7 linked regions of the Sus scrofa genome follow. The protein of the gene in region 3 interacts with the protein of the main gene of each other region in a biochemical or structural test. Links are inferred from orthologs where the notes say so. Each region holds a gene or a part of one and is shown on either strand. Other genes may lie near its edges.

Region 1 (3,500 bases), on a different chromosome or scaffold from region 3:
TAAGGCTAGAGGTCAAATTGGAGCTGCAGGTGAGGCCTACGCCACAGCCACAGCAACGCTGGATCCAAGTGGCATCTGTGACCTATGCAATGCTGGATCCTTAACCCACTGAGCAAGGTCAGGGACCAACCCTGTATCCTCCAGAGACTATGTCAAGTCCTTAACCCACTGAGCCACAATGGAAACTCCTCCGCTATAGTTGACACTGTTACTCATTCACTTGACGAGCATTTATTTTAAGAGGGGAGCCAAGCTGTAATGATGGGATAGTCATTAGCCGGGGAATGGAATTCCTATGTGGAGAGGCGAAGAGATGAGGAGAGAAGACATTCCAGACAGAGGCACAAGGAGAAACTCAGCACGAAGTAAATGAGGAGAGAGAAGCAGTTTGCGGTTCCAAAGGCCCAGAGAGAAAGGTTGTGGGAGGGAGAGGGTCCCGAGGAGGACTTCAGGTGAGGTACTTCATTCTGCTTCCTCCTCCTGCCGCCGACCCCTGGGCCAGAGGCCACATGACCCTGAAAGCCGGCTAGTCAGCAAGTCACTAACTGTAACTGGAAGAGGAAGGGGAAAGAAACAAAAGGGGCAGGACTCAGAGTAAGGACTGTGCATGGTCCCCAAAGCACCCCGCATTCTTGACCCCTCTGACACCCGAATCATCCAACCTTTCCTTGAAGTAACTGAGGCCTGCTGGGATCTTGCCAATAAATCCACCCCCTCTTTTTTTTTTGGCTTTAAGTCAGTATGAAGAGGGTGTTTGCTATTTGCAAGCAGGAATTCTAAGAAAAAGAATCATTCCCCTGAGAATGATCCCTCTCACACCCTGAAATGTGTTTCATACTTATACCAAGAAGAATGTGATAACCACAGGAGCTTTCCAGACAGTGTTTTACCATTGGTGCCACGATCTGTATTTTACTAGGAAGAAACAGGTTCTGAAAGGATAAATAACCTGCCCAAGATCATAATACAGTAAATGTTGGAGCTGAGGTGACTCTTAAGTTCAAGATCTTGCCATTAAAAATGCTGCCACTTCTGAAGTCTTCAAACCTGCATCACCAGGTGGGATCTCCTCTTGGCTGGAGTCTCCTCCTTGCGAACATAAGGACCCTGTCTCCTTTGAGAACATGTGTGAAAGGCTCAGAATTAGAATCTGAAGTTCAAAGATGACTGTTTCACTTAAAAAAACAAACCAACCACCTTTTCATTTTGGAATGATTTTAAGTTTACAGAAACATTGCAAAGATAGTACAGAGAGTTCCCAATAGCCCTCACTGTTTCTCCTAATGGTAATTTCTTATGTTAGATGGTACGCTTGTCCAAATTAAGAAACCAACATAGCTGCGTTACTATTGACGGAACTCCAGACTTTATTCAGACTTCACCAGTTTTTCCACAAATGTCCCTTTTATGTTCCAGGATCCAATCCAGAATCCCACATGGCATTTAAAATACCTCAATTTTTCACTTAAAAAAAACACACAAAAGCTGAGCCATTTAAACAACCCAAGCTGGACCTAAAGGTAAAGTGCTAGGTTTCCTGGTTTTGAACAATCCCTTTGGAGACTCTCCTTTCAGTCCAAATAGACCTAGCAATGCCTGGACATATTCTCTTTTCTACTTTCTTCTCCTTATACCTTAATTTGGCTTGGAAATACATACATGTTTATATTGTTTTCAAGGAAGAAGACCAATTCAAACAACTTTCTTATAATTTCTTAATTTCTTTCTTAAAGTTTTATAGAAAGCTTTCATTTTTTTCTTTGTGTATTTTCCACAATACATAATTTTTTAATCAGAAAAAAAGTTTAGTGTGCCATCCTGTACCACTACAAGGAAAGAGAATTTTTTTTTTTTTTTTTTTTTTGGTCTTTTTAGGGCCACACACACAGTATATGGAGGTTCCCAGGCTAGGAGCTGAATCGGCCTACTCCACAGTCACAGCAACCTGGGATCCGAGCCATGTCTGCGACCTACACCACAGCTCACGGCAATGCTGTAGATCCTTAGCCCACTGAGCGAGGCCAGGGATTGAACCTGCATCCTCAAGGATGCTAATCGGGTTTGCTAACCACTGAGCCACGATGGGAACTCCGAGGATTTTTTTTACGATGTGGATTCTGATAGGCTCACTCACGGATGGGACATGTACTCCAAGAAGATGCTAGGCTGTGAAGAGGGCTGGGGTGACAGTGTGCATTTATCTTTGCCATCACAGCTCAGGCTGAATCAGCTTTACAGTCTGTACCAACTTGGAGATCTACCTGATTTGCTTCTTTAAAATCATTAAACTATAGTTTTTTTCCCCTAAGATATAATATTTAAAATTGACTGAATGACAGCTGTCATTTCTTCACTCCTTTCCTGCATTAGAATTACATGGCTATGCCCTTGTCAGGTGACCTTTCAGCATCTGCCACTAAAGGGCATGGTGTGTATTTCCCTGTCTCATGGATGTTCAGCTTGGTCATGTGATTTGCTTTGGCCAATGAAAAGTGGGTGAAAGGACATTGTGTCAATTCCATGTTGAGGCTTTAAGAGGTATCACAGGTGTCTGCTCAGGCTCTGGTTTCCTGGGACCATCTGAAAAATCCTGACCAGGTCACAAGTGTCCCTTCAGACAGGGCCTCAGAATTAAGACACAGGGCAGATTCCAACCTAACTAGAAGCCTCAAGTCCAATCTGGCCTGGCCATGCCCAGCCTGGACCAGCTGAATACAGCTACTTAGCATATCTGTGTTTGCTACTGTAAAACAGAGATGCTGAGGGGTCTGTTACACAGCAACCCTGACTAATAAACCATGAACATGGACTAGACAAAGAAGCTAACTTCTTCCAAAGAAGGCTTTCCAGCCTGCTTTGGAATTAGCACAACCCGCATGAATCAGATTTAACTTACTTCCAGGCATCAGTTCAAAGTGAGGCTTTCCTTCTTCCATGGACATGAGAGTAGCCAGTTTCCCTTCTATCATCTCTCCATCAATGAACTTTCCATACAGGGCAGTCCTCTCATCCGGGTACACATAGGCTATCTTCTCTCCTGTCATCTCCCCATCTTCATTTACTTCTCCTACAAGGCTACCTCCATCCTGATGGGAAAAACCCAAAGCCAGAAAATATTATATATAGTATTTATCTATATGGCACGAGTTCAAGACATTTCTCTAGTGCTCCCCCAAGGTTAGTACCACTAATAGGAGTCATAAGAGTTTAAGAACTCAAAGCTTTTACACAAACACGAACAACCTGATGCATTTTCTCTTCTCCATCCAGCTCCACACAAATAAACTACTGGAAGTTACATGCACGGGGGCATATAAACCTTATTTAGAACCAGAGATGGGAAGCTCCTGCTGTGGCATACCAGGATTGGCAGTGTCTTGGGACTGCTGGGACTTGGGTTCGAGCCCCTGGCTGGCAGAGTGGGCTAAGGATCCAGTGTTGTCACAGCCTTGGCTTGGTTTGAGGCTGTGGCTGGGATCTGATCCCTGGCCTGGGAACTC
Region 2 (3,500 bases), on a different chromosome or scaffold from region 3:
GCACCAGATGGAAGGGGTTATCAGACGCATCAAGAGGCCAGTTCTAATTACTTGGCCCGGTCAAAGGAATCCGGGAAGGGAACTAAAACTTCCCCTTGACAACCCAGGCCTGCTTGGCGCTAAAGTGCTCAGAGCTTGCTCGTGGTCACAGCAGTATGGACCAAGCGCCCGGGAGAGCAGCTCTGAACCAGGCACCAGATGTGGGACATGTTCACACACGAGTCCCTGATCTCTGCGGTTCCCATCAAGTTCTGAAGAGAGGTGCACAGTGTACCCTTGAGGCGCACCGTGTAACCACTAAACGGTAGAGAGAGAGAGCACTCCCGGAGAGAGCGAACACTGAGAACCAGGCCTGTAAGATAAAATAGGATTTTTCTTGATTAACCACACCCCACCACTGAGGTCCTCTGACGCGGTTGCTAAGCCGGACCCTTTACAAGGCTCCTTCCTCTCCCCGGCTGGCGGGGGGGGGGGGGGGGGGGGGCAACAGGACAGACGATGCAACACCAATGCACCGCGTCCCCTCCTCAGCCCGCCACACATCTCCCTCTCAAGTGCCAGCAGATGCATGTGCCTCGTAAGCGGGCTCCTCTCTGCTCTCCCCACAGGCTGTGCCCGCCACGCTTCCCTCTAACTGCCTGTCCGCAGGACCACCTCCCAGCTAGACCGAGCTCCTAAGGGCACCTGCTGCCTGCTGCCGTCGTCTTTAAACCCCCGCTCTCTGACCCAGCCCCAGGCCTGGCACCACCACAGAAAGCAAACATCTGCTGAGGATCAGCGACGTCCCCTCAACCCTCTCCCCTTGCTGCACAGAAACGTCACCCCTGAGCCTGTACCTGCCATTCCGTTTACCGCCCGTGCACCTCTGGGGGTGGGAAGAGGGGAGAACCAGAACAGCCATTCATTTTAGGCTCCGACTGGGACGCCAGTGGTGCGCCAGGCACCAGACTTGGGGATGTGGGCTTTGGCCTGTGCGAAAGCCATGAGAGTGCAGCACTGCTGGAAGCAGAGGCCCTGGGAAGCAGGGCAAAGGCTAAGTCAGCTGTGAAGGCCAACAGACGGGCTGGAGATCAGTTTACAGTCACCCTGGGGAATGAGAACCGACTGGGAAGGGTCAACTGAGGGGGCACAGGCGCATTTAGATTTCTGTAAACCTGGATCACCGGGTAACTCTTGAAATACATCTGCGTGCATTTCTCTAAATTTGTACGGCTCTGTGCGCGGATCTCCAGTATACAGGCACGCCTCGTTTTATTGTGCTTTGCAGACACTGCATTTTTTTACAAATTGAAGATGTGTGGCAACTCTGGATCAAGCAAGTCTATCTGTGCCATTTTTCTTTTCTTTTTTTTTTGTTTAGGGCCACACCCACGGCATATGGAGGTTCCCAGGCTAGGGGTCCAATCGGAGCTGTAGCTGCCAACCTACACCACAGCCACAGCCACGCCAGATTCGAGCCCCATCTGCGACCTACTCCACGGCTCACGGCAACGCCGGATCCTTAACCCACTGAGCGAGGCCAGGGATCGAACCTGAAACCTCATGGTTCCTAGTTGGATTTGTTGCTGCTACGCCCCGAGGAGAACTCCATATCTGTGCCATTTTTCTAAAAGTATCTGCTTTGTGTCTGTGTCACATTTAGGTAATTGTTGCAGTATTTCAAAAATTTCCAGCATTGCCGGATTTGTTGTAGTGATCTGTGATCAATGATCTGTGATGTTACTTCGATAATTCACCCAAGGCTCAAAGGCTGGTCAGCATTTTTAAGCCATAAAGTTTGCTTGTTTGTTTTTTTTGGCCACAGCCTGCAGTGGCGGGATGTGGGATCTCAGTTCCCAGACCAGGGATGGAACCTGGGCTGCAGCAGTGAAAGCGCCAAGTCCTAACCACTAGACCACCAGGGACTCCCCAACCACAATGTTTTCTTTCTTTATCTTAAACTTTTAATGACTTTTACTTTTTCCATTATAGTTGCTTTACAGTGTTCTGTCAATTTCTACTGTACAGCAAAGTGACACAGTCACACACACACATGTACACATTCTTTTTCTCACATTATCTTCCATCAGTAACTTTTTCTTTCTTTCTTTTTTTTTTTTTTTTGGCTGCGCCTGCACCATACAAAAGCTCCTGGGCCAGCTACTGAACCTCTGGCACGCAGCGACCTGAACCACAGCAGGGACAACACCAGATCCTCAACCTGCTCGGCCACCAGGGAACTCTGTCAAGCATTTCACTGTATTAGAGCATCTGCCTCGCTGTGGTGGTCTGTGACCAAACCAGGGGTATCTCGAAGGGTTGCCTATTTCCTTCTATGCTGCATAAAGGCACATAAAACTCTTTAGGAAAGATATGCCAGGAACTCTTACAATGTGAAGTTCGACCCCTTCTGGATCTCACAGTAGCCTCCCCGACTCTCCACTTGCCCTGACCCACACACAAGACTCACCTTTGCTACCAGTGATCACTGGCACGTTACGTGGTCGAGAGCGGCAGTCAAAGATAATTGGCTTCTGTACCCAAGGGATGAGAAAGTGCGTCCCTTCCCCTACAACAATGTCCTGCACACCACGGAACCGGTCAAAGATGACAGCTCTGTGCCCAGCATCCACTAGGAATGAAGGAAAACGATGGGTCAGAAAAATCCCTTCACCCGTTAACCAAAATGATCATGCCCTTGAAAGATCCCTGGCGCCTTTTTTTTTTTTTTTTTTTTTTTTTTTGCTTTTTAAGGGCTGCACCCAAGGCATATGGAAGTTCCCAGACTAGGGGTCAAATGGAAGCTATAGCGGCTGGCCTAACCACAGCCATAGCAACATCAGATCCAAGCCTCGCCTGCGACCTACACCACAGCTCACGGCAACACCGGATCCTTAACCCACTGAGCGCGGCCAGGGATGGAACCTGTGTCCTCATGGATACTAATCAGGTTACTGCTGAGCCACAACGGGAACTCCTCCCAGTGCTTTCTATTCATGTATTAAGTCTCCCCTCTCCTGCTCTACATTCCCAGACTTCTGACCTCTAGAGGCTTCTAAATGGCTACAAAACAAAGCAATCACTCCCATGTGTCTTCCCAAGGACTTTGGTTACAGGAGCTTTCCTCAGCACCCTTTCTCTCTGAAACAACTGGCTGCTGATTTTCTGATTAACCACCTCACTCCCAAACTCGCAAAGCATTTCCAGAAATCACTTCTCAAAACTTTCTAAAACTCACCAAGGTCTTCACTGTTACCACATTCCCTCCGGTTCCAGCCTCACCCAGTGTGCGCAGAAACAGCACCCTCACTCCGGCAACCCTACAACTCAGAAGGCCCCACTCTTTACTTCCAATAGCTTGGTTTCTCTACGGTTTTAAGGGGCTACAGAGCTGTCTTGCTGACTGAGAGAGAAATGAGTGATGGTGATGATGTCTAGCCATGCAGGGCTGGCCAAAAAGATCAGAGTATATCTGCCTTTTTGCACTTTGTGGTCAGTTCAATTATCTTTTTTTTTTTTTT
Region 3 (4,031 bases):
CGGTGAATGCTCACCTGTGCAGAAGCTGAGTCTGTAGCTTGTTTCATGGGCTGCCCCAAACAAATGCCAGTGCCGAGGGTCAGTGGAGGCCAGAGCTCAGGTGGCCAGTGGCTACCGAAAGGTACAATGTTCAAGGCAAAACCTGGGCCCATGTTTCTCAACTTCAGCTCCAAGACAGCACCAGCCCCCACCCCTGCCCACGGCGAAAAATGTCTACTAGCCCTTAAGCACTGAGGGGCAGAGGCTCCTTACCTGCCTCTGCCTAGTACCTCATAGGCACTCACCAACAAGTGCTGAATGAAGGGAATGCTCAGGCCCACTGAGGCTGCCCCCGGCACCATAAGGAGTGGAGCACAGGGCATGTCTTTGGCCCAGTCTCTGGCTGTCCCTCTGAACCTAGAGCTCAGACTGCCGAGGGCAGGCCCCACAGCCAAGTACTATCAATTAGCTAAATGGAAGCTACCTGTCCAGGCCCCAAGCTGGTACTTGCAGTAACAGGTTGCTGAGGTGCAGGAGACCAGCCAAGCGACCCACCCCGGTACAATTTCCATCCCCCTCACTCATTAGGAGGAAGGGGTCCTGTGCTTTCATCAACCTCTATTAGCATCTCCAGGAAGCGAGGCATCCTAGTGGTTAACCACTCAGGAAATCTGGACTGGTCTCACAACTCACTAGCTGAGTAACTAGGGAAGGTTCTAACCTCTCTAGGCCTCAGCTTCCCGACCTGGAAAAGGGGAAAGTTGTTGAGAGGGTTAAATGAGTTAATTGGGTAAAGTGCTTGGCACAGGGCCTAACACACAAAACAGTCTCAAAATAATGGTGGCTGCTATTGTTATTATTAGCATCTTAGTGATTCCGGAAGGAAGGCCACACTGGGCAAGGGGCCAGGGGGACTGGGGGAACCTTGGTGGGATGCCTCAGGGACCAGCTGCCACCCAGTCCCCCAACAGTAATTGGGCAGATACTACTTCCTTGCCCTGGGCTTTGCCTCTCCCCTCCCACTTGCTCCAAGCCCTGTGCTGAGACCCCATACTGCTTGGCTGGCCCCTGCCTGCCCATCCATGCCCTACCCTTACCCACAGGCTGCGCCAGTCAAACTGGTCTCCACACCCTGTCCTGCGGCCCACAGGTCCAAGCTCCAGGCCTCCACCCCCTTCTCCCCCTGTAACTCAGCGGTCTCTTCTGAGCCCCCCCCCAATCTGAATTGGTCTTAAGCCTCTTGCTGCTCAGGGAGCACTTTATCAAGGCATCTCCCTGGGGCATTTACTCTTTTCTAGCACTGGGGGCCTCCTCTCCAGCTCCCAGAGGCCCAGCCCACCCAGTACTTCCACTGGGGCCAGGGGTCTGCCTGCCTGATTAATGAGCTTCCATGGCAACCAGAGTCTGGGAGGGTGGAGGGTGGCAGATGGAAGGACAGGCAGAGGGAGGGGAATCAGCAGCTGGCCCAGCCACCCCGCCCCTGCAGAGAAGGCCTCCCAGCCAGGCGGCCTGTCCCCAGAGGCCCGGAGGGCTAGGCCTGCACCTGGCAGTCCAGCATCCAGGCAGGAAGGAGGGTCTCCTCAATGGCCCTTCAACTTTCTGGTCCCAGAACTTTCCCCTGACTTCCCCAAGCAGCCGTGCCCACCATCCAGCCACAAGTTCTGGTCTGAAGCCAGCAGGCCTCAGTTCAAATCCCACTTGCAGCCTTGTGACCAGGGGGCAAGCCACTTCCCCTCTCTGGGCACAGTTCAGATGGGCACAGTGACAACACAGAGCTAGCTCACAGCATGGATGTGAGTTTTAGCTGCCTTGAAGTCTGCCAGAGGCCTGGCAGGCAGTCAGCAACAGCTGAATACACGTGGGCCATTATTATCATTGAGTCTGACCCTAGACAGGCTCCAGCGAAGAAGCTGAGGCCCAGAGCACAGAGGAGCAAACAAGGACTGGCCCGAGGTCACCCTGCACCCCGGGGCGGAGCCCGAAGGCCCAACCCAAGCTCGGCACCGCCCAGCCTGGGCGCCTCAACCCACCCTCCCCCGCCCTCGCCGCCTCCAGGCCAAACATAGCGCCCCGCCCGGGTCTACGCCGGGGTCCAGGCAGCGCACTTGGCCCAGTGTCCCTGGTGTCCGTACCGGCGGGCGGCCGAGCGCGGGGCGCGGCGCGCTGGGGGTGGGCCGGGGCGCCTGCGGCGTGGCGAAGAGCAGCAGGTCGGGGTCGCGGGGGCCGGTGGCGGGCGCGGCGGGGCCGGCGGGGGCCGCTGGGGCGCTGGCGTCCTGCGCGGTGGAGATGATGACGATCTGCGAGGAGTCGAGCAGCCGCAGCGCGCCGGCCCCGAGCAGGGCCTCCAGCGCCGGCGCGCATGGGCCGCCCGCGGGGGCCACGGCCATGGCGCTCACGGCCCGCGCGGCCCGGGTGGCAGTCGGCGGCGGCGGCGCGGGCCCATGGCAGCAGGCCGAGGCGAGGGCTCGATCCCGCTCCGGATCCCGCTCCGCCCCCGGCCGCCGCTGCCTGCAAAGTCCCGGCCACTTTTACGCGCCAAATCCTTTTTGCCGCGAAAGAGCCACGAGCCGCCGAGCGCTGCGCCTATTGGCTGTCCTGGCTGTGACGGAGGCGACGGCGACGGCGCCCATTGGTTGCAGCGCGCCGGACCGGCGGCGGAGGGCGGGACGGGGCGGCGGCGCGAGGAAGCACCGCCAATCGCAGGATGGGGCGCGCGCAGGCTTTGTCGGGGCGGTGCCAGGCGCGTTCGCACTCCCCGCCCCTAGAGGGGACGGCCCTGTGTGGGGAGTGGTGGCCCCACCCCCTCTTCGACGCACCCCATCCTGTTGATACCCTTTAGTGGAGGCTTTTACAACAGAACGTGTGTTGTGCACAGATCGCTATCCACAGACCCCACGTGACCTCCCAGAACCCCCACCTGTGGGTGCTCCAACACCCTCAGGCCATAACTCTAGAAACTGCAAACGCAGTTTCTCTTTTCCAGGATCTCAAGCCCACCTACAAAACCCCAGCCACATCTTTCCTCAACTTGCCCCACCAATGCCATTTACTTTCAAATCCTGCGCCCACCTTATCCCTTCCACCCAGAGCACAAGCAGAAGGAGTTGCCAGAAAATGGAGAGGAATGTCTGACCCAGTACAGCTTGGGGCTTTTCTCCAAAGCCTCCTGTAGCTGGAATCGCTTCAACAACCAAAGCACAGCTTCTGCTTGAACTGATTCCTTCGTTCATTCAACAAACCTTTTTTTTTTTTTTTTTTTTTTTTTTTTGCTTTTTAGGGTACCCCCTGGAAGGTTCCCAGGCTGGGGGTCAAATCAGAGCTGTAGCTGCCAGCCAAGGCCACAGCCACAGCAACATCAGATCTGAGACCTGTCTGCCACCTACATCACTGCTCACCACAACGCTGGATCCTTAACCCACTGAGCAAGGCCAGGGATCGAACCCACAACCTCATGGTTCCTAGTCGGATTCATTTCCGCTGAGCCACTTTGGGAACCCCAACAAATGTTTTGAGAGTCTGCTCTGTGCCCCCTTCTTGACTCCTGGCCCTAAGGATCTAACAGTTTAGTGAAAGGGGCTGGAGGGAAACTGAGGTAACAAATGTTTACATATGACACAGATTTCAACTATTAAGGTAATTCCATGTTAGATTTTACAAAGGGAGGAGGTGAGTGTGCTGAGCAACCAGAGGCCACAGGACCTCCCCATCAGCCACTTCTCATTGCTCAGTTCAGCTGATTTGAGTTATATTGTCCTCTCCTCTGTGCCAGGCTTTGTGCCAGCGCTGAGGGCAGATATGTGAAAGGCTTGATAATTTCTATGAACTTGCCTGCCATCTGGTGGGGATGGGCCCATCAAAAAAAAAGTAGCTGGAGTTTCCTCTGTGGCACAATGGGATCGGTGTCATCTCTGTAGTGCCAGGATGTAGATTCTATTCCCAGCCTGGCACAGTGGATTAAAGGATCGGACTTACCACAGCTGTGGTGTAGGTTGCAACTGTGGCTCAGATCTGATTCCTGGCCTGGAACTCCATATGCCTCAGGGTGGCCAAAA
Region 4 (3,500 bases), on a different chromosome or scaffold from region 3:
TTTTTAATACACTATATAGCTAATTACTGGTAACTTTTAATTTTGTCTCAGGTGTGTTTTTTTCATAACCTACTGTAATTTGAATATTTCTGCAAAGGTAGATTTTCTCAATGGTTTATATTTCTCTCTTTCTCTTTTTTAATGAATATATTAGGTCAAAAATATGAATGTGCAAAGAGATGGAATGTACACTGTGTGACCACACAGTGGTTTTTTGACAGTGTTGAGAAGGGTTTTTGTCAGGATGAATCCATATACAAGACGGAGCCTAGACCAGAAACAAAGACCCTGCCTGATACTTCAACTCCTACTGGTCAGATCAACACTATTGATAGTAGGTCTCTTTGGGATTCAAGTAAACAGTCATTTTTAAGGCAGTTTACTGTGTTAGAATTGATTTGTTAATAGGATCAAGGAGATATGGTGAGGGATTTCATCTTTTCTTACTGTGCTTCCAGGTATAATGGTATAATAACCAAATTGTATTTTAAAAATTAGTCCAGAGCTCCTGATTATTTCTTTTTATATTGAATGCATACTTTATTTCATACCCTAATATAATGCAGAAGATGATTAAAGAAATTAAGAATACTAATAAAGTCTTAAAATAAGAGGATTTTTTTTTTTTAGAATTTTACTGGCATGCACATATTAGTACATTTTCCTTATTTACTAGTTTGCTGCAGTTGTTATAGATCATCAGTGTTCTTATGTGACTTAAACCTACTTCTGTTTTGGAGGTACTATATTGGCAATTTAACAAAAGTTGTAGAGAGTTCCTGTTGTGGTGCTGCAGAAACGAATCCAGCTAAGATCCATGAGGACATGGGTTCGATTCCCTGGCCTTGCTCAGTGGAGTTAAGGATCCAGCATTGTTGTGAGCTGTGGTGTAGATCTCAGACTTGACTCGGATTCCGTGTGGCTGTGGTGCAGGCTGGCAGCTGTGGCTCCATTTCAACCCCTAACCTGGGAATCTCCATATGCCAAGGGTGCAGCCCTAAAAAAAAAAAAAAAAGAGAGAGAGGCAAAAAAAATACTAAAGACTTAAAATAAGAGGACTAATTTTGACTGGCATGTACATATTAGTATGTTTTCCTTATTGTTTACTGCAATTGTTATAGATCATCTGTGTTCATATGAAATTTAAAGCCACTTCTGTTTTGGAGGTACCATGTCAGCAATTTATCAAAAGTTACAGGGAGTTCCCGTTATGGCTCATTGGTTTACAAACCAAACTAGTATCCATGAGGTTGTGGGTTCAATCCCTGGCCTCGCCCAATGGATTAAGGATCTGGTGTTGCTGTGAGCTGTGGTGTAGGTTGCAGACACAGCTCAGATCCTGTATTGCTGTGGCTGTGGCATATGTTGGCATATGTGTCCGATACTTCCATATGCCTCAGGTGCAGCCCTAAAAAGCAAAAAAAGAGAGAAAATGTTTTAAATAGATTTTCCTTTAAATAAATGAATTTTAATTAGTTTCATTTTCCCTTTTCATACTTAGCACCAAGATTTCAGTAAAAGCATTTGAATCTTTTTCTTTTTCTTTCTTTCTTTCTTTTTTTTTTTGTCTTTTTAGGGCCACACCCACAGCATATGGAGGTTCCCAGGCTGGGGGTTGAATCAGAGCTGCAGCTGCCAGCCTATACCAAGCCGCAGCAACACCAGATCCGAGCCGTGTCTGCTACCTACACCACAGCAATGCCAGATCCTTAACTCACTGAGCGAGGCCAGGGATCGAACCGGCAATCTCATGGTTCCTAGTTAGATTCGTTTCCTCTGCACCACCATGGGAACTCCAGCATTTGACTCTTACTTTGGAAACTGTTCATAGCTCTTTTTATATAAGGCAAGTTAATCTATAGGAAAATATATAATCTCAATTATTTTGTATCCATAAATTTATACATTTTTGTTTAATATGTAGGTCGTACTCTTTCAGATGTCAGCCATATTTCCAACATCAATGCAAGTTGTATAAATGAATCAATATGTAATTCAGTTCTTAATAGCAAAGTGGAGCCTACTCTGGAAAATCTGGAAAATCTGGATGTCAGTGCATTTCAAGCCCCTGAAGATTTACTGGATGGTTGTCGGGTATGTCTTTGTCATATAATTAAAGCAGTAAGTGGTAATGTACATTAGTACTTCTAGCTTCACTGTGAATACCTTTCAGAGTTGGGCTTGATCCTTATCTATCTAAATTACTGAGCCACAACAGGAACTCCCTGGTTGTGACTTTTAATTATTCTTTACTTATAATAAGTGTAAGATTCCTAATTTTTGTTAAAATATATTCTAGTAACAGAGTTACTTAGTTTTGAATGTAACTGTAGTTAGGAATAGATGGGTCATTCTTGAGAAATTTTTAGAAAACACATTATGTAAAATAGAGCTGGAAGGGAGTTCCCATTGTGGTGCAGTGGAAAAGAATCCAACTAGTATCCATGAGAATGTGGGTTTGATCCCTGGCCCCATGCAGTGGGTTAAGGATCTGTTAGCTGTGGTGTAGGTTGCAGACTCCTCTTGGATCTTGCGTTGCTGTGGTTGTGGCATAGGCCAGCAGCTGTAGCTCTGATTGACTCCTAGCCTGGGAACTTCCTATAAGCTGAGGGTACAGCCCTTTAAAAAAAAAAAAAAAAAAAGAGTTGAAGAAGACTGTTAAATTGATTAAATTAGTTTAAATATGTACATATTGATAGTTAAAAATAGGTTATTGCGTATGTATCATCCTCAAAGCATTGTGCTCAGTTCATTGACTTAAATTTCTTTGTTTAATTAGCTGAAAAAGATCTCTCAATTTATAAATAAGAGGAATTGGTTTTAGAGAATCTTAGGTATCTTGACTTGGTCATGTGGTTAATCATTGGCCACTGAACCAAAATTTAAATGTAGATTTTCTGAGTTCACACATTTAACTCCAGTTTATTTCTGTAATTATTTTAAAGCCTCAAAATCCTTATCAGGTGTCTACTGTAAAGGATAATACTGCTATGGCATTGTGAAGAAGTGATAAAAATAAAACCAAAGTTTTTGTTTTTTTTTTTGGTCTTATTATTGCCTTTTCTAGGGCCGCTCTCGTGGCATATGGAGGTTCCCAGGTTAGGGGTCTAATTGGAGCTGTAGCCACTGGCCTACACCACAGCCATAGCAACTCGGGATCAGAACCATGTCTGCAACCTACACCACAGCTCACGGCAACGCTGGATCCTTAACCCACTGAGCATGGCCAGGGATGGAACCTGAAACCTCATGGTTCCTAGTCAGATTCGTTAACCACTGAGCCACGATGGGAACTCCATACCAAAAAATTCTTTTAAAAAAGAAAAATCAGAGTTTCAGAATATACTGCACTTAATATATCTTAAAATGTACGCAAGAGTTGTCTTATTTATACACAATGGATTTAGATATGTACTTCTAATAAATAAGTTTCTATTGAGAAATAAACCATTTTAATTGCATTAATCTAAAGTAAATATTTCCTTTCTTTGCAGATCTAT
Region 5 (4,075 bases), on a different chromosome or scaffold from region 3:
AATATCTGTAAATTTTTACCATTTTATGTTTGTTTTAGCTTATCTTCTCATTTCTCTGAGTTTGAGGAATGATTTTTTTTTTTTTTTTTCAGGAAAAAATGTAGGAGGAGTTCTCATCGTGGCTCAGTGGAAACAAATCCGACTAGGAACCATGAGGTTGTGGGTTTGATCCCTGCCCTCAATCAGTGGGTTATGGATCTGGCATTGCTGTGAGCTGTGGTATAGGTTGAAGATGCAGCTCGGATCTGGCGTTGCTGTGGCTCTTGTGTAGGCCGGCAGCTACAGCTACGATTAGACCCCTAGAACTGGGAACCTCCATGTGCTGCAGGTGTGGACCTAAAAGGACAAAAAGACAAAATAAATAAATAAATAATGTAGGAAGTTAGGAAAGGAGACAAGATGAGTTCCCTTCCACAGGGGTCAACAACAGGGTCCCTTTTGAGGATCTTCATAAGTTTGACACAGTTTAATAAATGAATTTTAAAATTATAGCGAATACCGGCAACTATACAACAGACAACTTTACACTTGTAAATGCTTGATAAATATGTAGTACTGAGAAATTACGATTTGCTTTGGAAGGTAATCTTGTGCTGTTTCAGTAAGAGATCTTTGGAGTAAAGATGCTACTTGCTCCTTATACAGCTAAAAAATATATTAAGAAGCTTAAAAAAAAATTTCGAATCTTTTCCCTCAGTAGCTCCAGGCATTTTATCCATGGAATTAAGCCTGTTTTTCCTCCTCTAGAACCTCTGCTATGATTTCGTACTTTCACCAGCTTCTAATCTCCACTATATAGTTGGAAGCATTTAAGACCAAACCCTCTTTAGGATATCAAGTTGCAGAAGACTGTAGTTTCAGAGATATTTATACAGTAGTGCTGCCACCTAAAGATGAGGTGAATAAGTAATTCAAAGGAAATGACCCATCATTCTTAAGGCTGTGTCAAAAATTTTCTCACTTCTTAAATAAAAACATTTGTTTAAACTTTATAAGGAAAACATTTCTCATACCTAGGGATTAAAAAAAAACATTGTTTTGTTAGTAGGGAAGCTTGTTTCACAATGAAGTGTTGCTGTCATTTTCCATGGCAGAAATTTTCAAATTCAAACCCTTTAAAATGATCTGTGATTTGAGGTCTCCAAGAATATCCCCCAAATTTCTCTCAGACCTCAGTCGCTTCCTCTAATACATAAAGTGTGTGTGGGGGGGGGGGGATTAAAAGATATCTAGAAGTAAAACTATTGAGGAACTTCTGGTTTAGTGGCTAAAGCTGGTAATAAAAGACCCATGCATGGTGTTTCCTCCTCTGGGTGACAGACTCCATGCAACTCTCAACAACTGACATACTTTTGTAATTCAATTTTCTCATCTATAAAATGGGGTTAATTTCCCCTCTCTTCTATCTGCCTCTAAGTCTTAGCTAGATAAGCTTCTTGGAAAAGGTCCTATAATTAAATGAGTTTAAAAGTCTCCTTTTGCCTAATAAGAGTACCTCACGGTGTACTGCAAAGTAACCTCAAAATATATTCAGTTAAATAAGCTAAAACAATGATTCAGTTTTCTTTAATCACAGATTGACTTCCCTGAGAGTTATTTAAATAATGATAAAGATGGGCAAGGCTATTTTCTGCTTATTTTGCAGTCCATAATTTTCGTACGCAGTGTTGCAGGATGGAGATGTGGCAGTATCCAAAGTGAGGGGGAAAGTTAACATGTACCAAAAACCTTGTCAAATTTGGTTAAGATTTCAAGAAAACTCTTAAGGACTTTTTACAGTTCTACATTTCACCCTAGTATAGCAATTTCTGAAAATGAACTCGTCCCTGTTACTCTCTCCCTCTCGACCCAAGGACGCATAAGTAATATTTATCAGGGTTTTGTCCTTAGTCACAGTCCCTCAAAGGGGCCCAGTTTCACCTACACTGCGTGGGAGGCTGGGCTGCCACCCCACGCTTCCTGTCAAGGATTCCTGGGGCTAGAGCCTGAACTTGGACTAGCCCCTTCTTCTTCATGCTAATTCCGCCCTTCTAGCCCCTCTGGACGCGCGTCTGAAGGCCAAGGTGAGACCCTCCCGGGCGATGAAAGGCTTGTCGCCTCCAGAAAGATGCGGGCGGAACGGGATGTGTGTGTGTGGGGGGGGGTGACCGAGCGGTAGCGGCACCGACAACGACGCTGAGGGCCCTAAACTGGAGCTGACGCAGGCCCTACAGGGTTCTGTCCCCGTCTGAGCCTGGCTTCCGCCCTCTGAGCCCAACGAGGAATAAATCCTCCGGGGGGCGCTACCGGAGGTGGGCGGAGAAAGTGCGGCCCGAGAAGCGGCAGGCAGCCCCCTTCTCAGACCCGCCTCAAGGCCTGGGCCGCAGGCTGTTGACGCGCCAACGGCCGGGAGGGCGCGCGCACGCGCGAGCTGGGGGGCGGAGGGAGCGCGCTCGGCAGCCGCCGCCGCGGCGGCAACTGAAACGGAGGGACGCGAGGGCGGAGGGCGCGAGCCACGGGAGGAAGGTGGGGGGGAGATGGTGGGTAGCGGGGAGCGCGCGCTGACGTCGCCCGGAGTCACGCACGGAGCGCCGGGTTACGCGCCGACGTCTGGCTGCCACGACTTGCCGTCTGCGGCGGCGGCGGCGGCGGCGAGCGGATCCCGCAGGGGAAGGAGGAGGAGGAGGGAGAGCCAAGGGGGCTGTGAGTGAGCGGGAGAGGCAGGGTGTGAGCCGGACTTGCCAGCGGGAGGGAGAACGAGCGAGAGCCGAGCCAGCCATCCGAGCCGCCTCCTCCTCCTCCCCTCGGCGTCCCGCCCCCGCCTGCCAGCCCGCCTTTCTCCCTCCTCAGCCGGCGGAGCCCGAGTGAGGCGCAGCTCAGCTCGCGCCGCTGTCCAGGACAGGTGTGCGCGCGCGCGCCCTCCTCCCCTCCCCCTTTCCTCGCGCCTGCCTCGCGCCTGCCTCGCGCGCGCCCTCCCTCCCTCCAGCCCGCGCCCTCCCTCACCTGCGGCAGGACAGCGCCCGCCCGCCCCGGTAAGCCCCTCGCGACCTTCTCTGCTGCCACTGCCTTAGCTCGAGGTGCCGCCCACTTTGTCCCCTCTTAGTGTTTTCTTATGCCCCAGGAATAATGACTGGAGCGCTGTAGACGTCCCCGCACCCTCCCTCCGGGGACCCTGGCAGTGCAGCAACGCGCCCCCTCCCTCCCGAGCGCTCGAAGGGACAAACTCCCTCCCATCTCCAAAAAAGAAGAAAATCACACGCCCCTTTAAAAAAAAAAAAAAAGAAAGAAAAGAAAAGGAAAAGGAAAAAAGGCAATCCTACCTCGGCAGACGCTGGAGACCACCAATGATGCCGTTTGCTAGCGATGCCTAAGCCCCAGTCCCTCTAGCCACCTTCGCCTGGGGCCTGGGACAGTGCGCCAAACCTGGCCGACACTCCCTGCCCGGCAATCCTGGCAGGAGGGGAGAGGAAGGAGGGTTCTAGGCTCCACTACCAACCCCTCCTTTCCTCTGTTGAACCCCCCCCTCCCACCCCCGCAATGCATACACCCGCCCAGTATGCGTTGTAAAAATAAAAAATACATTGGTGCTGACATCGCAGATGAAGCCAGGCCCAAGGATGGGTGGCCCGAACACGGCGTTTTCGCCGCCCCACGGAGCTCGCTCAGCTCCGTAGCCGCCTCTGCCTCTGTCCGAGGGCCAGAGGAACGGATGTGAAGTTGGAGAGGCTGCCCTTTGAGCGATGGTGGGGCCCCGGCAGCAGCTGAGACGTAAATAGGGGCAGGGACTTCCACAAATATATTTGCCTTGAGCCTGAATTTGGATAGAAAGAAAGGCCCCAGAGTCCGGCGAGGGAAACTTTCTTGGGTTCGTTGCTGTCTACCCCTGAATAAATGGTACTTTGATTTTCGTTGTCTCAGCGGGACCCTTTTGAGGTTTCTAATTCGTTCTTATCTGGCCCCCTTAACGTTTCTGTCGGGCCAGGCGCTTTCGCAGCGGCGTCTGTGTTTGTGTCCCGTGCCCTTGGAAGGGAGGTCCCCGTGCTGTATAATGGGCTGAATTTGGTTTGCCATTTTTTGGTAGACCTGTCGGAGGAGG
Region 6 (3,500 bases), about 3.1 Mb from region 3:
CTCCTGCTTTTCAAAATTCTTTATAGGTTTACTCTGATGTTTTGTTCTTCATAATTCTTTACCAGAACTTCCTACAGTTGCCACCGACAGTCCATTTACTTGACAGTACATATGACTGGTCATATTCTTCAAAAGTTCAGATTCACACATCACAGAAAATCATAGGACAATTCTGCCTCACAGCAGAGACTGAAATCTGGGACTCTTGACCCTGAGTCCTATACTGTTAAGAAGTTGCTTAAAGTATTGTTTTCCCTTTGAGGCTGCTGCTAATCCCCTAATATCTGAGTCATTTAATTGTAAGTACAGTACCTTCCTGTCAAAGAGTTTTGAAATATATGGCTTAAAATAGTGCTCCTTTATTCCTTTGGCTTCTACTAGAAGTCCGTCATGCAGTTCACACAGTACTGCAATGATGCAGGGAGGCTCCTCAGGAGCCCTAAAGTCAGCAGTATGGAAATCAGATGGTAAACCTAGTTTGACGGGGTATAAAGAGCAATGGAGGGAAAAAGAATATGGTCAACTTTTAAAACTCTTTTTCTAAAAATTGATAATCAGTTTTCAAAAATAAATAAGATCTTACCTTTAAATGATGGATTCAGCAAGTCTCGTCTATTTGGGCATATAATAGCATTGGCAAAAATCAGATCCAAGCAGCACAGAAGTAAATGATAAGAGTTTACTAAATCATCTCCAATCATACGAAAATTACCTTTATATGAAAAAAGAGACATAAAACCCAGAAACCTTTCATGTCAAATAGCACCAAGTTCCCACATTAGAAATATAGAACAATTAAAAGTGTAACCTTACCCTTAGTATAAACAAAGAGTGTCCAACAGAAATTAAAAAGCTCCTTAACACTGCAAGGAATCCTCCTAAAAAAAAGGAGGAAAATGTACTTTTATTTGACTAACTTACTAAATATCATTCCACATGTGTCCCTTAAATTGAAACAGCAAATACAACAAATAGTAAAGTCAAATTACCTATAAACTCCCGTTCACAAAGGCCAGACAATTATGGGTTATTAAATGAAGTTAAAAAGTAGACTTTTAAAAACGCAAATTTCCCTTACTACTCAGCCATAAAAAAGAATAAAATAACACCAATAACAGCAACATGGATGCAACTAGAGATTATTATACAAAGTGAAGTAAGTCAGAAAGAAACAAATACCATATGATATCACTTATATGTGGAATCTAAATGTGACACAAATTAATGTACCTACAAAACAGAAACAGGCTCACAGACATAGAGAACAGACTTGTTGTTTGTCACATGGGGTGGCGGGGAGAGGGATGGACAGGGATGGGGGGTTAGTAGACAAACTATTATATTCAGAGTGGATAGATAACAAGGTCCTATGGTATACCATAGGGAATTATATCCAATCTCCTGGGATAGAGCATGATGGAAAATAATATTAAAAAGAATGTATATATATGTATAACTGAGTAACTCTGATGTACAGCAGAAATTGGCACATGGTAAATCAACTATACTTTAATTAAAAAATCAAATGGAAATTATCTTAAGCTTGTATCATAATTTCTATGTCAATTATATAAGAATTAAGGGTCTCACCTCTGCTTCCTGCTTCGTGGTAACTTTGGTGGCTCTTCATATGGACTTTGAAATATATCTAAAAAAATTGGTTCAAATTTCTTGAAAATTACAGTGGACACCTCAAAATTTCTTTCTAGCCTTTCTATACGTTCACGAAATTCTTGTGGCAGGTTCGACATGTCCATCCATTTCTTCATTTTACTAAAAAACTGTATTAAACTAAACGAACAGAAAAAAAGCAACTTTAAAATGAGTCCATATAATGGAAGGAAAAGGAAACACTCTATTTATGCCTAAGAATATTTATTAAAATGCCAAATTGGGGCTCCTATTGTGGCTCAGAAAGTTAAGAACCCAACAGAGTGTGCATGAGGATGTGGGTTTGATCACAGACCTCATTTAGTGGGTTAAGGATCTGGCACTGCCGCAAGCTGTGGCGGTCGTCACAGATGTAGCTTGGATCCAGCATTGCCACGACTGTGGCACAGGCCAGCAGCTGGAGCTCTGATTCGACCCCTAGTTGCAGAACTTCCTTATGCCATAGGTGCAGCCATAAAAAGAAAAAAAAAGCCAGAATTTATTTTTTTTAAAAAGAAACAGGGAGTTCCTGTCATGGCGCAGTGGTTAACGAATCCGACTAGGAGCCATGAGGTTGCGGGTTAGGTCCCTGCCCTTGCTCAGTGGGTTAATGATCCGGCGTTGCCGTGAACTGTGGTGTAGGCTGCAGTCTCAGCTCAGATCCCGCATTGCTGTGGCTCTGGCGTAGGCTGGCGGCTACAGCTCCGATTAGACCCCTAGCCTGGGAACCTCCATATGCCACGGGAGTGGCCCAAAGAAATAGCGAAATGACAAAAAAATAAATAAATAAAAAGAAACAAACGAACAAATAAAAAACCCCACACTCCAAGTGCTATAAAATTACTTTAGTTCGGAGTTCCCGTCGTGGCGCAGTGGTTAACGAATCCGACTAGGAACCATGAGGTTGCGGGTTCGGTCCCTGCCCTTGCTCAGTGGGTTAACGATCCGGCGTTGCCGTGAGCTGTGGTGTAGGTTGCAGACGCGGCTCGGATCCTGCGTTGCTGTGCCTCTGGCGTAGGCCGGTGGCTACAGCTCCGATTCAACCCCTAGCCTGGGAACCTCCATATGCCACGGGAGCGGCCCAAGAAATAGCAACAACAACAGCAAAAGACAAAAAAGACAAAAAAAAAAAAATTACTTTAGTTCCCAGAACCACTATGAGAATGTAGATTTTGAATTAGGGGTCAATATATAAAATACATTCTACTATACGGGAACACCTACCTACTTCTTCTATTCCCTGCAGCACCCAGACAATACTCTGCAGATAAACTACAGAGTAAATGTTACTCAACAGACTGATAAGTTCACAAAACTATTTTGACAAAAGATAGAATCTCCCAATATCAGATTCTGGAAGTTAATCACAAAGCACCGGACAGTTACAGAGTGGGAATGAAATTCAAGTGTTTGTGTTCCAACGTGTGGTTCCACCACTTAATATAAACTAAAAAGGTAGTATATACCCAGAAAATCACCTAATGGATTATGGCTCAACCCTTCTGGCTTAATTCAATTATGGATGCAATTTTTTATGTCCTCATGTTAGTATGGTCTTAGACTGAAAATCTGTAGTATTAAAGCTCATTTAAGGAGTTCCCATCGTGGCTCAGCGGAAACGAAATCTGACTAGGAACTATGAGGTTGCAGGTTCAATCCCTGGCCTCGCTCAGTGGGTTAAGGATCCAGCATTGCCCTGAGCTGTGATGTAGGTCACAGATGCAGCTCAGATTTGGTGTTGCTGTGGCTGTGGTGTAGGCTAGGAGCTACAGCTCCAATTGGACTCCTAGCCCAGGAACCTCCATATGCCACGTGTGTGGCCCTAAAAACACCAAAAAAAAAAAAAAAAA
Region 7 (4,057 bases), on a different chromosome or scaffold from region 3:
GTATTTAATGCCAGGAGACTGGAAGAGATTGCTATGGGAGTGAGTGGAGATTCAGCTCAAATACGAAGCCCTGGCACACTCTAACTTTTAGCGAGCGGATGAGGAAGGACCACCGAGGAGGTACAGCCAGTGAGCTAGGTTGGAAACCAGGCCCTGTTCTCCAGACTGCGTGAGAAGAAACTATTTCAAGGAGTGAAGAATGATCAACAATGTCAAATGCTGCCAACTGGTCAAGTAAGGAAAGGCTTGAGAACTGATTAAGAATTGAGTCAAAGAGAACAAGAGAAGAATCTGAGACACAGTATTTGTTCAATAAATCCTCGCATGCTACCCTGGCCAGGCACTGTTCTAAACACTGGAAGTACAGCAGTAAACCCAATGTCCCAAACCCTCATCCTGATGGAATTTACATAGACAAACCCTCAAGAAATACTGCCATAAATGGGACAGTTGCTGCAAAGAGCTTTGTAGTTGCAAGGTTTTTAGGAATGAAAAAAAAAAAAAATCACAGTATATTTTCATGCTTCTGGGTTTGATCCAGTGGAAAAGAGAAAGACAAGGTGATGGAATGATATCCTTAAAAAGGCAAAAGGGCATAAGGTGTGCTGCACACACGGGGCGTTCCCCTTGCATAAGAGCAGGGACACATGGGTTACGTAGCGGGAAGGGGGTGGCAGAGTATATGGTAGGTACACGGGACCATGTGGAAATTCTCTTCCGGTTACATCTATATTTTTAGGAAAATAGGATATAGTTATTAACTGAGAGTAAGGATGGAGATGGAGGCTTTCAAGGATAAAAAGAGAAGGGAATGTATAAAATAGGAGGTTTCTATAAGAAGGGTGCAGAGGAATAGAGTCGGGAAATGTAGAGGTATCGCCAGGCAACACAGAGCTTAATTGACAGTTGTGAATTTAAAGTGAGCTCAGTCAGCGTAGGTGTAACTGCCAATTCGTAAGAGGTTTTCAACTTCAAGTTTAAAGAAGTAAACACCACTAAGCACATTAAGTTTGTTAAAACCACCTTTACTCTGTTTTTTCCAACGCTTGAAACATTACTTTGGGTATTTTTCTCTCACTAATCAGATGTCACCAAAACAGATGACTTGAATAGTCTGTAGATGAGGAGAGGCTTCTGATCTGGTCTCCATCATGAATTTCTTTTCTTTTTTGGTCTTTTTTAAACCTCTCAAATTTGCTCACATATAAAATGGAAAGAACACCTGCCCACCTATGTCACTGTATGGTTGCCAATGTCATTCCACTACATATGTACACTACAGACTTAAGGCATGGTTATGAGAAGCTTTGTCTAATAACAGACTTAGATTTTTTTTGTTTAATCTCAAAATTCATTCTTAAGGATCCAAACTCCTCTTTTACATTATAAGTCTCTGAATTTGTTTACAATCAGTTAAAGGAAGTATCTCTGATCCGTTAAGTGCAAGCAACTAATGTCAGATGGCCCATGAGCTGTTTGCCCAACTGTCCTTAGTCAGTCCTGGAGAGAAGTCTACTTTCAAAGCACGCATTTTGAAGTAATCTAGGATAGGCTGATCCAATCCTGATTCTACACCATCACCAATGAACTTAAAAGTTACCCAGGATGCCTCAGGCACAGCCGAGATCAGTGTGGATACCGCTCCAATCTGTGGGAACCCCAGTTCCACAGTTTATTTTGGAGCATTCTCATTTCCTTTTAGCCCAGAACTTAAATGACTTTACGCATACTTACTCTAAACAGTTCCTAGGTTTCTTTCCTTGATATCGGAAAAATAACAGAAAAGTATTCAATATTTCTAGCTAGAAAAAGGACCCAAGAAAGAAATCTTTAATAAATCAAGGTCCCTCTAGTCCAGATTCCAGGGTTGAAATACTCAGGGGACGTCTGTAGGTAAAACTGCCAGAGAAACCCACCTCTCACCATGACATGAGAGCCCTTCTCAACAGGTAACCGTCCCAGCTCTTCTCAGTCGTTACCTGGCCACAGGTCCTCCTGTATTGCCCATTCTCGGTTAGCACCCCTAGTACTGTTCTTTGTGGTGGATCCTGGCTGAGCTGGGCTCTGGACATCATCTGACAGGCATCAGGACCTCCGGACACTGGAGCCAGCACTCTCCCGCTCTTGGAGCTACTGAGATGCATAGCCTCAGTCTCCACAGGCTACTGCTATCAGGGAAGGAGAAACAGACATGCTGGTTAGTCAACCTCTTCCAGCACGGGCTCCAGAATGCAGCAAATCCCCAGAAGAGAGAGCACTGAAACATATGATCTTCACTGCAGTTATTAGGGTTGAAAAGGCCTGAGCCACGGTGCAAGCGATCAAAGCTACTTTGAACCAAAACAGGGATTTGAATCTCTCCAGGCTTTCTTCCCAAACCAGGCTGACGGCTGGAAGGAGGAAGGCAGACCTCCACGGCCGGACACTAAGCCCCAGGTTAATTGGGAGTCCAAACCTACAGGTCTATGTCTTTTCCGGCTATGAGACTTATCCATCACCCCACCATCCCTCTGCCTGCAGTCGACCCAGGATACATCACTGTGGGAAAATATATCCCCTTCCCAAGTGACAAGAAGCGTGCTCTTCCGCGGCCCTCCTCCCGCAAGACATAAGACCCCAAAACCTGCTTGAAGCCCACAGCGGGCCTCGCTCGTCTCAGCTTTATGTCTTTATATATGTCTCGAACAATTGGCAAGTGCACACCAGGATTGGGAATGAGGGGCAGCCTAAGGGGGCGGGGGCGGGGCGGGGCGAGGCGGAAGGGGACCGAGGTGTTAATAGATTCCAGCCTTGGCGCCGGGATCTCAGCCTGGGCTGCCAGCTCCTCAGCTCTAATTATTTTCAACTCCCCCGCCCCCCGCGTCTGTTGAATCGGCCAATCAGCGGCGCTCTCGGGCCTCACGGGGGGGCCGTTTCCATGCCAACCGCGGCCGGCGTGCGCGATCCGGGTCGCATCGCTATGGCGACCTCCTCACCTGACACGCTCGGGGCGGACGCACCGCGACCCCTGGGCGTTCAGGGCTGGGAGGGACCAACCGGCAGCCGCCCCGGGCTCTTCCTGCGCTGCCCTGCCCGGGCGTGCCCGGGCGAGCGGGTCGCCGCGGGCACCCGCGCCCTTTCTGGCTGGCCTCCCGGGTCTGGCAGGGAGGAAGAAGGCCCACCCCGCGATGGCCAGGGTTTGGAAGGGACTGTTTCCTTGAACCCGTTCTCCCAACAGCCACTAACTCCTCCCGCCAACGTCTTTTCCTCGGCCCGCTCCTGAGAACCTTGGCTCGGGAGAGCGACGCGGGGCCCTCGGGGCTGCGCAGGCCGTGGCGCCTTGACCGCGCCCGCCCCAGAGCGCGGCTAGATCCCCTTCGCTGGCCCACACACCTACACCTTCTCCCAGAGAGAGGCCACATAGCTGCGGGTTGGCCCCTGGTTTGGGCTGGGGCTTCCTAATCCGTGGTGGCGGCGTGTCCTCGCTCATTTTGAGTCCTTGCGCACCAGAGGTTGCTCCTGGTCGGCCCGGGTTCTGGTGCATTTGGCCCGGCAGGGTGGGAGAGGAGATCTGGGGTTTTAGGGTCGCACGTGGTGCGGACAGTCCCCACGAGAGGTCTTCCCTGGCGGGTTCCGGCAGTCACGGCCTGAGGCGGGTCCAGGAACGCCGAGATAGTGGCCCAGGAAGAGGAAGGAACGCGGGTGGCAGCGATGGGGCTTGGGACGTTGAGGGAGAACGTAATGAGGCTCGGAACTGGGTTCGGGGCAGGTGGCCTCGCCACGTGGGGAGGAAAATCCTTGGATGGGGGTCCACCCGCAGAAGTTAACTGGCAAGGCAGGTAAAAGAGTCTTTAACGTTGTGATTTTTTGGAAAATATTTGTGTGCACATGTGTGTGTATCTGTGTGCACACACATATACACATTGCATATAAAACGTTGCTGCTTTTGTCTGCTTTTATTTTTTTAAATGCTCATCCCTAAGCAGACCACCAAAACCATTTAAATGAGCATTTTAAGAAATGATTAGCTGATCAGTTATCAAAGTTCCCCTCGTGGTGCAGCGGAAAGGAATCCGAC

What was found.
Region 1: of the proteins of E2F1 (region 3) and SETD7, one has a biochemical effect on the other in vitro, tested with the Homo sapiens proteins (3 studies listed by BioGRID). The link is inferred for Sus scrofa from reciprocal best matches to the Homo sapiens genes E2F1 and SETD7.
Region 2: the proteins of E2F1 (region 3) and PHB form a complex in vitro, tested with the Homo sapiens proteins (2 studies listed by BioGRID). The link is inferred for Sus scrofa from reciprocal best matches to the Homo sapiens genes E2F1 and PHB1.
Region 4: the proteins of E2F1 (region 3) and TOPBP1 form a complex in vitro, tested with the Homo sapiens proteins (4 studies listed by BioGRID and IntAct). The link is inferred for Sus scrofa from reciprocal best matches to the Homo sapiens genes E2F1 and TOPBP1.
Region 5: the proteins of E2F1 (region 3) and PURA form a complex in vitro, tested with the Homo sapiens proteins (2 studies listed by BioGRID). The link is inferred for Sus scrofa from reciprocal best matches to the Homo sapiens genes E2F1 and PURA.
Region 6: the proteins of E2F1 (region 3) and RBL1 form a complex in vitro, tested with the Homo sapiens proteins (2 studies listed by BioGRID). The link is inferred for Sus scrofa from reciprocal best matches to the Homo sapiens genes E2F1 and RBL1.
Region 7: the proteins of E2F1 (region 3) and CCNA1 form a complex in vitro, tested with the Homo sapiens proteins (2 studies listed by BioGRID). The link is inferred for Sus scrofa from reciprocal best matches to the Homo sapiens genes E2F1 and CCNA1.

Annotation. Positions count from the first base shown.
Region 1 is NC_010450.4:87,502,284-87,505,783, reverse strand, and holds part of SETD7 (histone-lysine N-methyltransferase SETD7), read right to left. Parts: intron 3,101-3,500; exon of another isoform or gene 3,087-3,100; coding exon 2,897-3,086; intron 1-2,896. UniProt on the Homo sapiens protein: Histone methyltransferase that specifically monomethylates 'Lys-4' of histone H3. H3 'Lys-4' methylation represents a specific tag for epigenetic transcriptional activation.
Region 2 is NC_010454.4:25,603,194-25,606,693, forward strand, and holds part of PHB (prohibitin), read right to left. Parts: intron 2,612-3,500; coding exon 2,450-2,611; intron 1-2,449.
Region 3 is NC_010459.5:37,187,319-37,191,349, forward strand, and holds the start of E2F1 (transcription factor E2F1), read right to left. Parts: upstream 2,801-4,031; coding exon 2,796-2,800; intron 2,741-2,795; coding exon 2,629-2,740; intron 2,505-2,628; coding exon 2,112-2,504; intron 1-2,111. UniProt on the Homo sapiens protein: Transcription activator that binds DNA cooperatively with DP proteins through the E2 recognition site, 5'-TTTC[CG]CGC-3' found in the promoter region of a number of genes whose products are involved in cell cycle regulation or in DNA replication.
Region 4 is NC_010455.5:74,832,878-74,836,377, reverse strand, and holds part of TOPBP1 (DNA topoisomerase 2-binding protein 1), read left to right. Parts: intron 1-154; coding exon 155-334; intron 335-1,924; coding exon 1,925-2,094; intron 2,095-3,494; coding exon 3,495-3,500. UniProt on the Homo sapiens protein: Scaffold protein that acts as a key protein-protein adapter in DNA replication and DNA repair. Composed of multiple BRCT domains, which specifically recognize and bind phosphorylated proteins, bringing proteins together into functional combinations.
Region 5 is NC_010444.4:141,876,500-141,880,574, forward strand, and holds the start of PURA (transcriptional activator protein Pur-alpha), read left to right. Parts: upstream 1-1,275; 5' UTR 1,276-2,063; intron 2,064-2,532; exon of another isoform or gene 2,533-3,011; intron 3,012-4,075. UniProt on the Homo sapiens protein: This is a probable transcription activator that specifically binds the purine-rich single strand of the PUR element located upstream of the MYC gene. May play a role in the initiation of DNA replication and in recombination.
Region 6 is NC_010459.5:40,258,646-40,262,145, forward strand, and holds part of RBL1 (retinoblastoma-like protein 1), read right to left. Parts: intron 1,792-3,500; coding exon 1,591-1,791; intron 879-1,590; coding exon 814-878; intron 713-813; coding exon 584-712; intron 474-583; coding exon 313-473; intron 1-312. UniProt on the Homo sapiens protein: Key regulator of entry into cell division. Directly involved in heterochromatin formation by maintaining overall chromatin structure and, in particular, that of constitutive heterochromatin by stabilizing histone methylation.
Region 7 is NC_010453.5:12,394,892-12,398,948, reverse strand, and holds the start of CCNA1 (cyclin-A1), read right to left. Parts: upstream 2,801-4,057; 5' UTR 2,624-2,800; exon of another isoform or gene 2,460-2,623; intron 2,169-2,459; 5' UTR 2,145-2,168; coding exon 1,980-2,144; intron 1-1,979. UniProt on the Homo sapiens protein: May be involved in the control of the cell cycle at the G1/S (start) and G2/M (mitosis) transitions. May primarily function in the control of the germline meiotic cell cycle and additionally in the control of mitotic cell cycle in some somatic cells.